2 linked regions of the Drosophila melanogaster genome follow. The protein of the gene in region 1 binds, or shares a complex with, the protein of each later gene. Each region holds a gene or a part of one and is shown in the gene's direction. Other genes may lie near its edges. The genes, in order: Mon1 and Bulli.

Region 1 (3,916 bases):
GCGCGACCAGCTGGACGAGCAGCAACTGGAACGACTACAGAAGGCCGAGGAGTATATAGTTGCGCACAAGGCGATGCTGACGGTGAAGCATGCAGAGCGCTGGGTGGAGCAGGACAAGAATGAAAAGGGCCAAGTGTTCGTGCGCAAGTCATCCAGCATCGGCTCGTGGGACATGTCCAAGGAGAGGCCGCCGAATGGTTTTGCGTCGATGCATGATTTCAAGAAGCAGCAAATGGATACGTTCTTCGGTCCCGGCCGTGCCATCAAAGGCGGTACGGATCTCTCCATCATTGGTACCTCAGCGCCGCCTCCGCCGCCACCTGACACCCCACCACAGATTACCAACTACTGGCCCTCTGGAAGTTCCAACAACACGGGGTCCAACTCCAATCCCTCGTATTTCAGCCACTACAGCAACAACTTTGTCAAGGGTGCCACTCTGCTGCCGCCCTAGAATAGCTATCCGAAACTAACCCAGGTCGTGGGTTTTCTTAAACACTATCAAATAGCATGGCACATGCACAAAGTTCTGCAATTTTGCAACCATATTTAGCAATTTCTTCTTCATCGTGGATTGACGGCCATTGGCATTTGTATTAAGATAAATGTAACAAAATCAACTTGACACTACTACTTGGCTATTACTTAGTTTTGCGACTGCGCCGCGGCTGGGATTCGTCCAGAGGCGGAAGGCCAAGGAGTTGGCGTCGTTCCCGCTTGCCACGCAGTATGGCTTCCTTGAAGAGGTTGCAATAGAGCTCCACTGCGGCCGGCGAGTCATCGTTGCCGGGCACCGGATAGGTGATCAGGTTGGGATTGCAATTGCTGTCCACTATGCCAATCGTTGGTATGGCCATTTTGGCGGCGTCCCGAACCGCCGTGTGCTGAGCCATAACGTTGTTTTGAGTGTTGAGGAAAATGCAAAGATCGGGCAGCCTGGTGACCGCATCGAATTGCACATTGGCATTGGTAAAGATGCCGCCGCGCCAAAAGCGAGTGTGCGAGAATTCACCGGCCTCCTGGGCCTTTCGCTCCACGAGATGTGAGTTCATGGCGTTGCGGTTGAAGAACAGAATGATGCCATCTCGGAAGGCAATGTGTGCGGCAAAGTTGAGGGCATCGCGCAGATGTGATGCCGTCTTGTCCAGATCGAAGATCAGATGACCTAATCGACTGCCGAACAAGTACGGACGCATTCGGTCGTCCAGGGAGCCCTCCTTGTGGCCATAGTGCACTCGGGCATTGAAGAGGTCGCGCACGGTGAACAGGTTGTGCACTTGGAAGTAGTCCGGATGCTTCAGAATCCGCTGTTCCACCAGGGCGATGTCCTCCGGTTCCGTTTCCACCGATTGCTCCGGCTGTGTGCTCTGCAGGCGTCGTGGCAGACCGCACATCTGACCAAAGCGGGGTACTACCAAGGGAAAGCATGTATAATTTGGTTTCCTTGATGTTTTAATTGATTACTTACGGTTGGCAAACGATTTTCTCAACATTTTGGAGCGGCTCGTGTTTTCATAACCTATGTTCTTCTTCTTTTCCGTCGATTTTGGTAAACAGCTGGTGGGTAGTGTTGGATAGAAGTGTTTCTATAAGAGGTCTTAAAACAAAAACAAAATAACAGATATAAAAATTTAATTATAATTATTAAGATAAAGTAATTCAAAATCCATATATCAAATTAACTTATTTTTCATAACATTTAAGAATGAATAAGCCTATCTTATGGTGTGTTTTCCGGAACACCCTTTATTTCACCTTCTGCTTCGGACAGTGTTGGGAAATCCATTCCAGCTGTAATGATTTAGTTGTAAATTTATGATATTGCTAAATATTGGCAAACTGCAATGTTCCAGCGACTGAAATAGTTAAACGAATTCGAAATGGAAGTAGAGCAGACGTCAGTCAGGTCGGACACGAACTCCACCTGCGAGTATCTAGACGCAGAGGGCGATCCGGAGTCCCCAAATCTCTATCAAGAGGCGGATCCCGACCAGGAGGCCGAGCAACAAAACCATAGTATTATCTCTGAGCTAAGAGATGGCCTGGGCACCATGCGAGATAACAGTGCCCTCAGTCCGGAGCCGGGGCAGGAGAACAAGGGACTGGCTGCCTCTGTGGAGTCTCTGGCATTGAGCACCTCGACCAGCGCCAAAACAGAGGACTCCATTGGCGGGGGACTGGAGGAGGAATACGATTACCAGCACGACAGTCTGTGGCAGGGCCAAAAGAAACACATCTTCATACTAAGCGAGGCGGGAAAGCCAATCTTCTCGCTACACGGCAATGAGGATAAACTGGCCACGCTTTTCGGTGTCATTCAGGCACTGGTAAGCTTCGTCCAAATGGGCCAGGATGCTATTACCTCCATTCATGCGGGCGGCATTAAGTTCGCTTTCATGCAACGCAGCTCGCTCATCCTGGTGGCTGCCAGCAGGAGCAACATGAGTGTGCAGCAGCTGCAGCTTCAACTGGGGTGAGTCAATTATAACGCACCTGATAGCAATGCTAACTAATGGGAACTTCCCATTCTTTACCAGGGATGTCTACAATCAAATATTGTCCATTCTGACGTATTCACACATGACGAAAATCTTTGAGAGGCGCAAGAACTTTGATCTGAGGAGACTGCTCTCCGGCAGCGAACGATTGTTCTACAATCTGTTGGCGAACGACAGTAGTAGTGCCAAGGGTAAGGATATCTAAGCATATCCAAATTGCTTAATTTCTCAACGACTTCTTTTAGTGTCCAACAACATCTTCACATTTTTGACCAACTCAATTCGCGTCTTCCCATTGCCCACAACGATACGATCGCAAATCACCAGCGCCATTCAGAGCAACTGCTCCAAGATCAAGAACCTGGTGTTTGCCGTGCTAATTGCCAATAACAAACTGATAGCATTGGTGCGCATGAAGAAGTACTCCATCCATCCGGCTGATTTGCGTCTGATCTTCAACCTGGTAGAGTGCTCCGAGTCCTTCAAGAGCTCCGAGAACTGGTCACCAATTTGCCTGCCCAAGTTCGACATGAATGGGTATCTGCATGCGCATGTCTCGTACCTGGCGGATGATTGCCAGGCCTGTTTGCTCCTGCTGTCCGTGGACAGAGATGCCTTTTTCACGCTGGCAGAGGCCAAGGCAAAGATCACGGAGAAGCTACGCAAAAGCCACTGCTTGGAAGCCATCAACGAGGAGCTGCAGCAGCCGTTCAATGCGAAACTCTACCAACAGGTTGTGGGAATCCCCGAGCTGCGGCACTTTCTTTACAAGCCCAAGAGCACAGCTCAACTGCTGTGTCCCATGCTCAGGCATCCGTACAAATCTCTGACGGAGCTGGAGCGCCTGGAGGCCATCTACTGCGACTTGCTGCATCGCATCCACAACAGTAGTCGCCCGCTGAAGCTTATCTACGAGATGAAGGAGCGCGAGGTGGTCCTGGCCTGGGCAACCGGAACCTACGAACTGTACGCCATATTCGAGCCGGTTGTGGACAAAGCCACTGTGATCAAGTACGTGGACAAGCTGATCAAGTGGATCGAGAAGGAGTACGACGTGTACTTTATACGAAACCATGCCACATTCTAAGCTTTAGCGCGCTTCGCTAGGGCATTGTGAGATATATGACTATTTTTTTATTGCTCCTCTGCCAATCGAACCAGGACAAAGTTGTTGTGCTGCAGTTGTGACGGCGTTTGTTTAACTGAACCTAGTATACCAGAATCACGCATGTACATTTGTAATTTAAAACTTTAAGTAAATTCTAAAACTTTATAGATAGTTTATCTCTTAGTGGATCTATAGAAAACTGAGTTCTGTCGAAAGGTTCGAGTCACCGCTAGCGCAGCATATCCTTTAAGTTCGGACTCAAACCAAACCGGTTATCTTCGGGGATGGACTTTCGAGAGCGAAAGGAATC
Region 2 (3,916 bases), on another chromosome or scaffold:
TTAAGGGTTATTGTCTCCATTCATAATCTCTTCTTGTTTTGTTAACATTATTTGGGGTTATCGTCATATACTTGTACCTTCCACCTTCTGATTTATTGTCATTAACTTATACCCTACACCATAAGATTTATTGTCGTTATTGCGGGTTGTTGTCATATTAATTAGTTTCTTGATAAGATAGAAAAACTACAGCTTATTAATTAATGCCATTTACCCTAAACTTCCTGATTTGTTAACGTTATTAAGGGTAAAATGGCATGTATTTGTGCCATTAGAAACTAAGACTAGTTTATTAAAAATTGCCTCTTCCCTGCTCTTCTAATTCGTTATCGTAATAAATCCCTCAATAAAGGAGGTATGTAAATATTAATTAAGTTGTGAGTCAAGTAAAATACGATATGAATGTTGTACTTTCCACTGAACCTAAAATAGAAATATGTTAACTTCTTTAACCCATGCTAGTCAGTTGCAGCAGAGCACAAGCGGTCTGCTGATTATCCCCCGATTCGTGGACCTTGCGATGGGTGCGCAAGGCAGAGGGTTGTATAAATTTCTTGCCGCAAACGTGACACTCAAAGTTCTTTTCGCCAGTGTGGGTCATTTCGTGATATTTTCGCGTGTCGGTGGTGGCAAATTTCTTTTCGCAATAGCTGCAGGCATAATCTCGTGCCTTCTCGTGGATTGCGCGGATATGTTTCTTAAGACTCGTTGAGCTGTTGCAAACTTTGGGGCAATCCTTGCAGGACCAGGTCCTTTCCAGAGTATGATAGTTGATATGCAGTCGCAGTTCGTTTTTGGTCGTCTTCTTGAGACCACAGTAGGGGCAACTAAAGTTCTTTATGCCCTGGTGACGCATCATGTGGATCTTGAGTTTCTCCGTGCTATAGAATCGCATAGAACATTCCGGCAGTTCGCAGGCATATGGCAATACCAGCTGGTCACCGTGTGTGAACCGATGCTGGCTTAGGGCAGAGCCAGTCTTGAACACCCGACCACAGAACTCGCACATATGGGTCTTCAAAGGCTTGCCAATGTCGTGAGCCTTGCTTTGGTGGTATTTCAGCGAGGCCTTGTGCCGGTACATCCTGTTGCAGCCCTCCTCCTCGCAGACAAACCGCATGCCCACTTCCGAGTGCTCTAGCTCGTGCTGCCTGAGGTTCTCGAATCGGTTGAAAGCTTCCTCGCATCCGGGCTCAGTGCAATGATACAGCATGTGTCCCTGGTGTTCCTTCTTGTGCAGAATCAAGCGTTTCTCCTCTCGAAACTCGTCGGCGCACAAGTCGCACTTGTATGTGGTCAATGGCGGCTCCTGAAATCATTGAATACAACTTAACTTACACTCCTGTTTAAACCTTAAACCCAAACTCACTTCCAAAGCTTTCTTTTCCGTTTCCGGGGGTTGCTGGACATTTTCGGTGAAGGTATGGAATACCAAGGTTGGCGGTGCCTGTTCAGCGACTATTGGGGTATTTTGTGCACTCAAATTGGTATCACATATAATCATCTCCGGCGGCTCCAATAGAAGTTCTTCCAGCTCCAGCTCCTCTTCCTCATCTTCATCGACCTCGTAAACAGGTTTCCTGCGATCTATTTTCTTCCAAGTTACCAGACTTTTAGAACGCCACTTATTGTCGGCTATAATGCAAAGTGCTCGGAAGGAGTGGAACTTCTCCAGAAGCTCGTAGCACTCCGAGCAAATTTCGCTGGGCAAAATATCCTGGTCATCAGGATCCACCACCAAATTTGTGCACTCCGAAAATTTGACGGCGAGATATGGATGGTGCAGCAAATTGTAGGCCTCGTCGTCTCTAGCCACATCGCTGGAGCATACGCGGCATTTGTCCAGGTGTCCCATTAAGTGGTTGAATCAAAGTTATTGAGACCTTTTTTTAAATTCACAAGAAAAAATATTTTTCTGTGTCCTGTCTGCCGTTTTTTCTTATCGCTGTTGTTTGTATACTAAACAGCTGATAGGGCTGGCAAAAATACCGCTGATAGCAATAGTGATGGCAAATAATAGCGTGAGTTGGAAGGGGTTAAATAAATATAGTATAAATGTTTAAAAATATCTACTGTAAGCATACCACAAATAATGTTAAATACATTTATATTTTTAATCCTTGCACGTACAATAAATGAAATTAATCGTGACTTAAAACAGCTTGTTACTCGTGGCACATCTCTAGCACCCTGTGCTAAAGTCACATCTCTAATGGGGGGTGTATAAAAAGTTGTGCTGTTGCAGTTTGTTATTTATTTTTTTCCAGCACAACAATGGATAATTCCAATGGAATCCACTACATTGAGCTAACCCCAAATCCCATACGATTTGATGCTGTCAGCCAACTAACCAATGTGTTTTTCGATGACTCCAACAAGCAGGTATAGTTAAAACATGTTAAAAATCCATGTTGATGATGGCTAAAAATCTATATCTGTAAAGATATTTGCTGTTCGGTCTGGAGGAGCTACTGGTGTGGTGGTCAAAGGTCCTGGATCTCCCGACGATGTCGTCATCTCCTTTTGCATGAGCGACCGTGGCGGTGCCATAAGGTCCATTAAGTTCTCGCCGGACAACCAAATCTTGGCCGTTCAGCGAAAGGAGAATTCCGTGGAGTTCATATGTTTTCAGGGAGATCAGCCTCTGCTGCAGGACATCATTACCCACCAGGTGAAGACTCTGATCCATGGCTTTGTTTGGGTCCACAATCGAGAGGTGGCCCTGATTTCGAATACCGGCGTGGAGGTCTACACCGTAGTTCCTGAGAAGCGACAGGTGCGCTCTGTGAAATCCCTGAGCATTGGCATCAAGTGGTTCGCCTGGTGCTGCGATGCCAATGTGGCTCTACTGTGCACCAGCGAAGGAAACTCCCTGATTCCGGTGCTGGTCAAGCAGAAAGTAATCACCAAGCTGCCCAAAGTGGACTGTAAGTAATCCTTTTGGGTTAAAATCCTTTAAAAGCGTTTTAATCTTTCCTTTCAGTGGGCAATCCAAGTCGCGATGTCCAGGAGAGCAAGGTCACCTTAGGCCAAGTTTACGGCGTGCTGGCTGTGCTTATCCTCCAGTCAAATAGCACCACCGGACTGATGGAAGTCGAGGTGCACTTGCTCAATGGACCGGGCTTGGCTCCACGCAAGTGCCATGTGCTCCGCTTAAGTCTGCTTGGTCGCTTCGCCATCAACACGGTGGATAATCTGATTGTGGTGCACCATCAAGCTTCGGGCACTTCGCTGCTATTCGACATCTCCCTGCCCGGAGAGGTGATCAATGAAATAACCTATCATACACCCATAACTCCAGGGCGCTCCATCAAACCGTTTGGCCTGAAACTGCCCTCACTTTCGCCTGATGGACAAATCTTGCAGTGCGAGTTGTGTAAGTTCTTTAAATATCCAAAAAGTTACTTTATTTGACACTTATACCCATGCAGATTCCACGCACTGGGTACTGTTCCAGCCAAATATTGTAATCGATGCCAAGTTGGGTTGCATGTGGTTTTTGAACCTCTGCATTGAACCATTGTGCCAACTGATTTCGGATCGCATTCGACTTACAGAATTCCTGCTGCAACGCAGCAATGGCAAGCAGATGCTATTAAAAGTCATTGGACAATTGGTAGATGATCAGTATAAGGGAACTCTATTGCCAGTCCTAGAGACCATCTTCAGTCGGATTAACAAGATCTATGCGTAAGTTAAAGACGTTATTTTCATCAATATATATTTATTACATTATGCATGGTATACTTTAGGTCTTGGGTCCAGTTGGAGCTGCAAAATCAAACCGCTCAACCGTCGAACGTAAAAACTACTACCCTGAAACAGAGCACACCGCCCATTGTGCTCATTGAGCAACTGGATATGGTGCAAATCTTTCAGCGCATAGCTCGTCGCCCGTACACGGAATCCATATTGA

What was found.
Region 2: the proteins of Mon1 (region 1) and Bulli are in contact, whole or in part, in a cryo-EM structure (PDB 8JBE), measured with the Drosophila melanogaster proteins. Residues at the interface, in NP_608868.1 of Drosophila melanogaster: Pro416 (codon at 3,244), Glu417 (codon at 3,247), Arg419 (codon at 3,253), His438 (codon at 3,310), Pro439 (codon at 3,313), Glu445 (codon at 3,331), Arg448 (codon at 3,340), Met473 (codon at 3,415), Lys474 (codon at 3,418), Glu475 (codon at 3,421), Arg476 (codon at 3,424), Glu494 (codon at 3,478), Pro495 (codon at 3,481), Val496 (codon at 3,484); in NP_648047.2 of Drosophila melanogaster: Ile561, Arg565, Lys568, Asp590, Leu592, His595, Ser596, Arg599, Phe600, Met603, Phe631, Pro632.

What each region holds. Positions count from the first base shown.
Region 1 is NT_033779.5:4,848,871-4,852,786, forward strand, and holds Mon1 (monensin sensitivity 1), read left to right. Parts: upstream 1-1,770; 5' UTR 1,771-1,880; coding exon 1,881-2,473; intron 2,474-2,537; coding exon 2,538-2,689; intron 2,690-2,743; coding exon 2,744-3,585; 3' UTR 3,586-3,770; downstream 3,771-3,916. Other genes in the region: CG11927 (uncharacterized protein), read left to right, coding at 1-454; mRpS2 (mitochondrial ribosomal protein S2), read right to left, coding at 642-1,411, 1,469-1,493. UniProt on the Drosophila melanogaster protein: Part of the Mon1-Ccz1 guanyl-nucleotide exchange factor complex specific for Rab7 that promotes the exchange of GDP to GTP, converting Rab7 from an inactive GDP-bound form into an active GTP-bound form.
Region 2 is NT_037436.4:6,486,487-6,490,402, forward strand, and holds the start of Bulli (bulli), read left to right. Parts: upstream 1-2,194; 5' UTR 2,195-2,274; coding exon 2,275-2,382; intron 2,383-2,443; coding exon 2,444-2,927; intron 2,928-2,983; coding exon 2,984-3,376; intron 3,377-3,431; coding exon 3,432-3,690; intron 3,691-3,752; coding exon 3,753-3,916. Other genes in the region: CG10147 (uncharacterized protein), read right to left, coding at 449-1,309, 1,370-1,855. UniProt on the Drosophila melanogaster protein: Positive regulator of the Rab7 guanyl-nucleotide exchange activity of the Mon1-Ccz1 complex, possibly by enhancing its endosomal membrane association.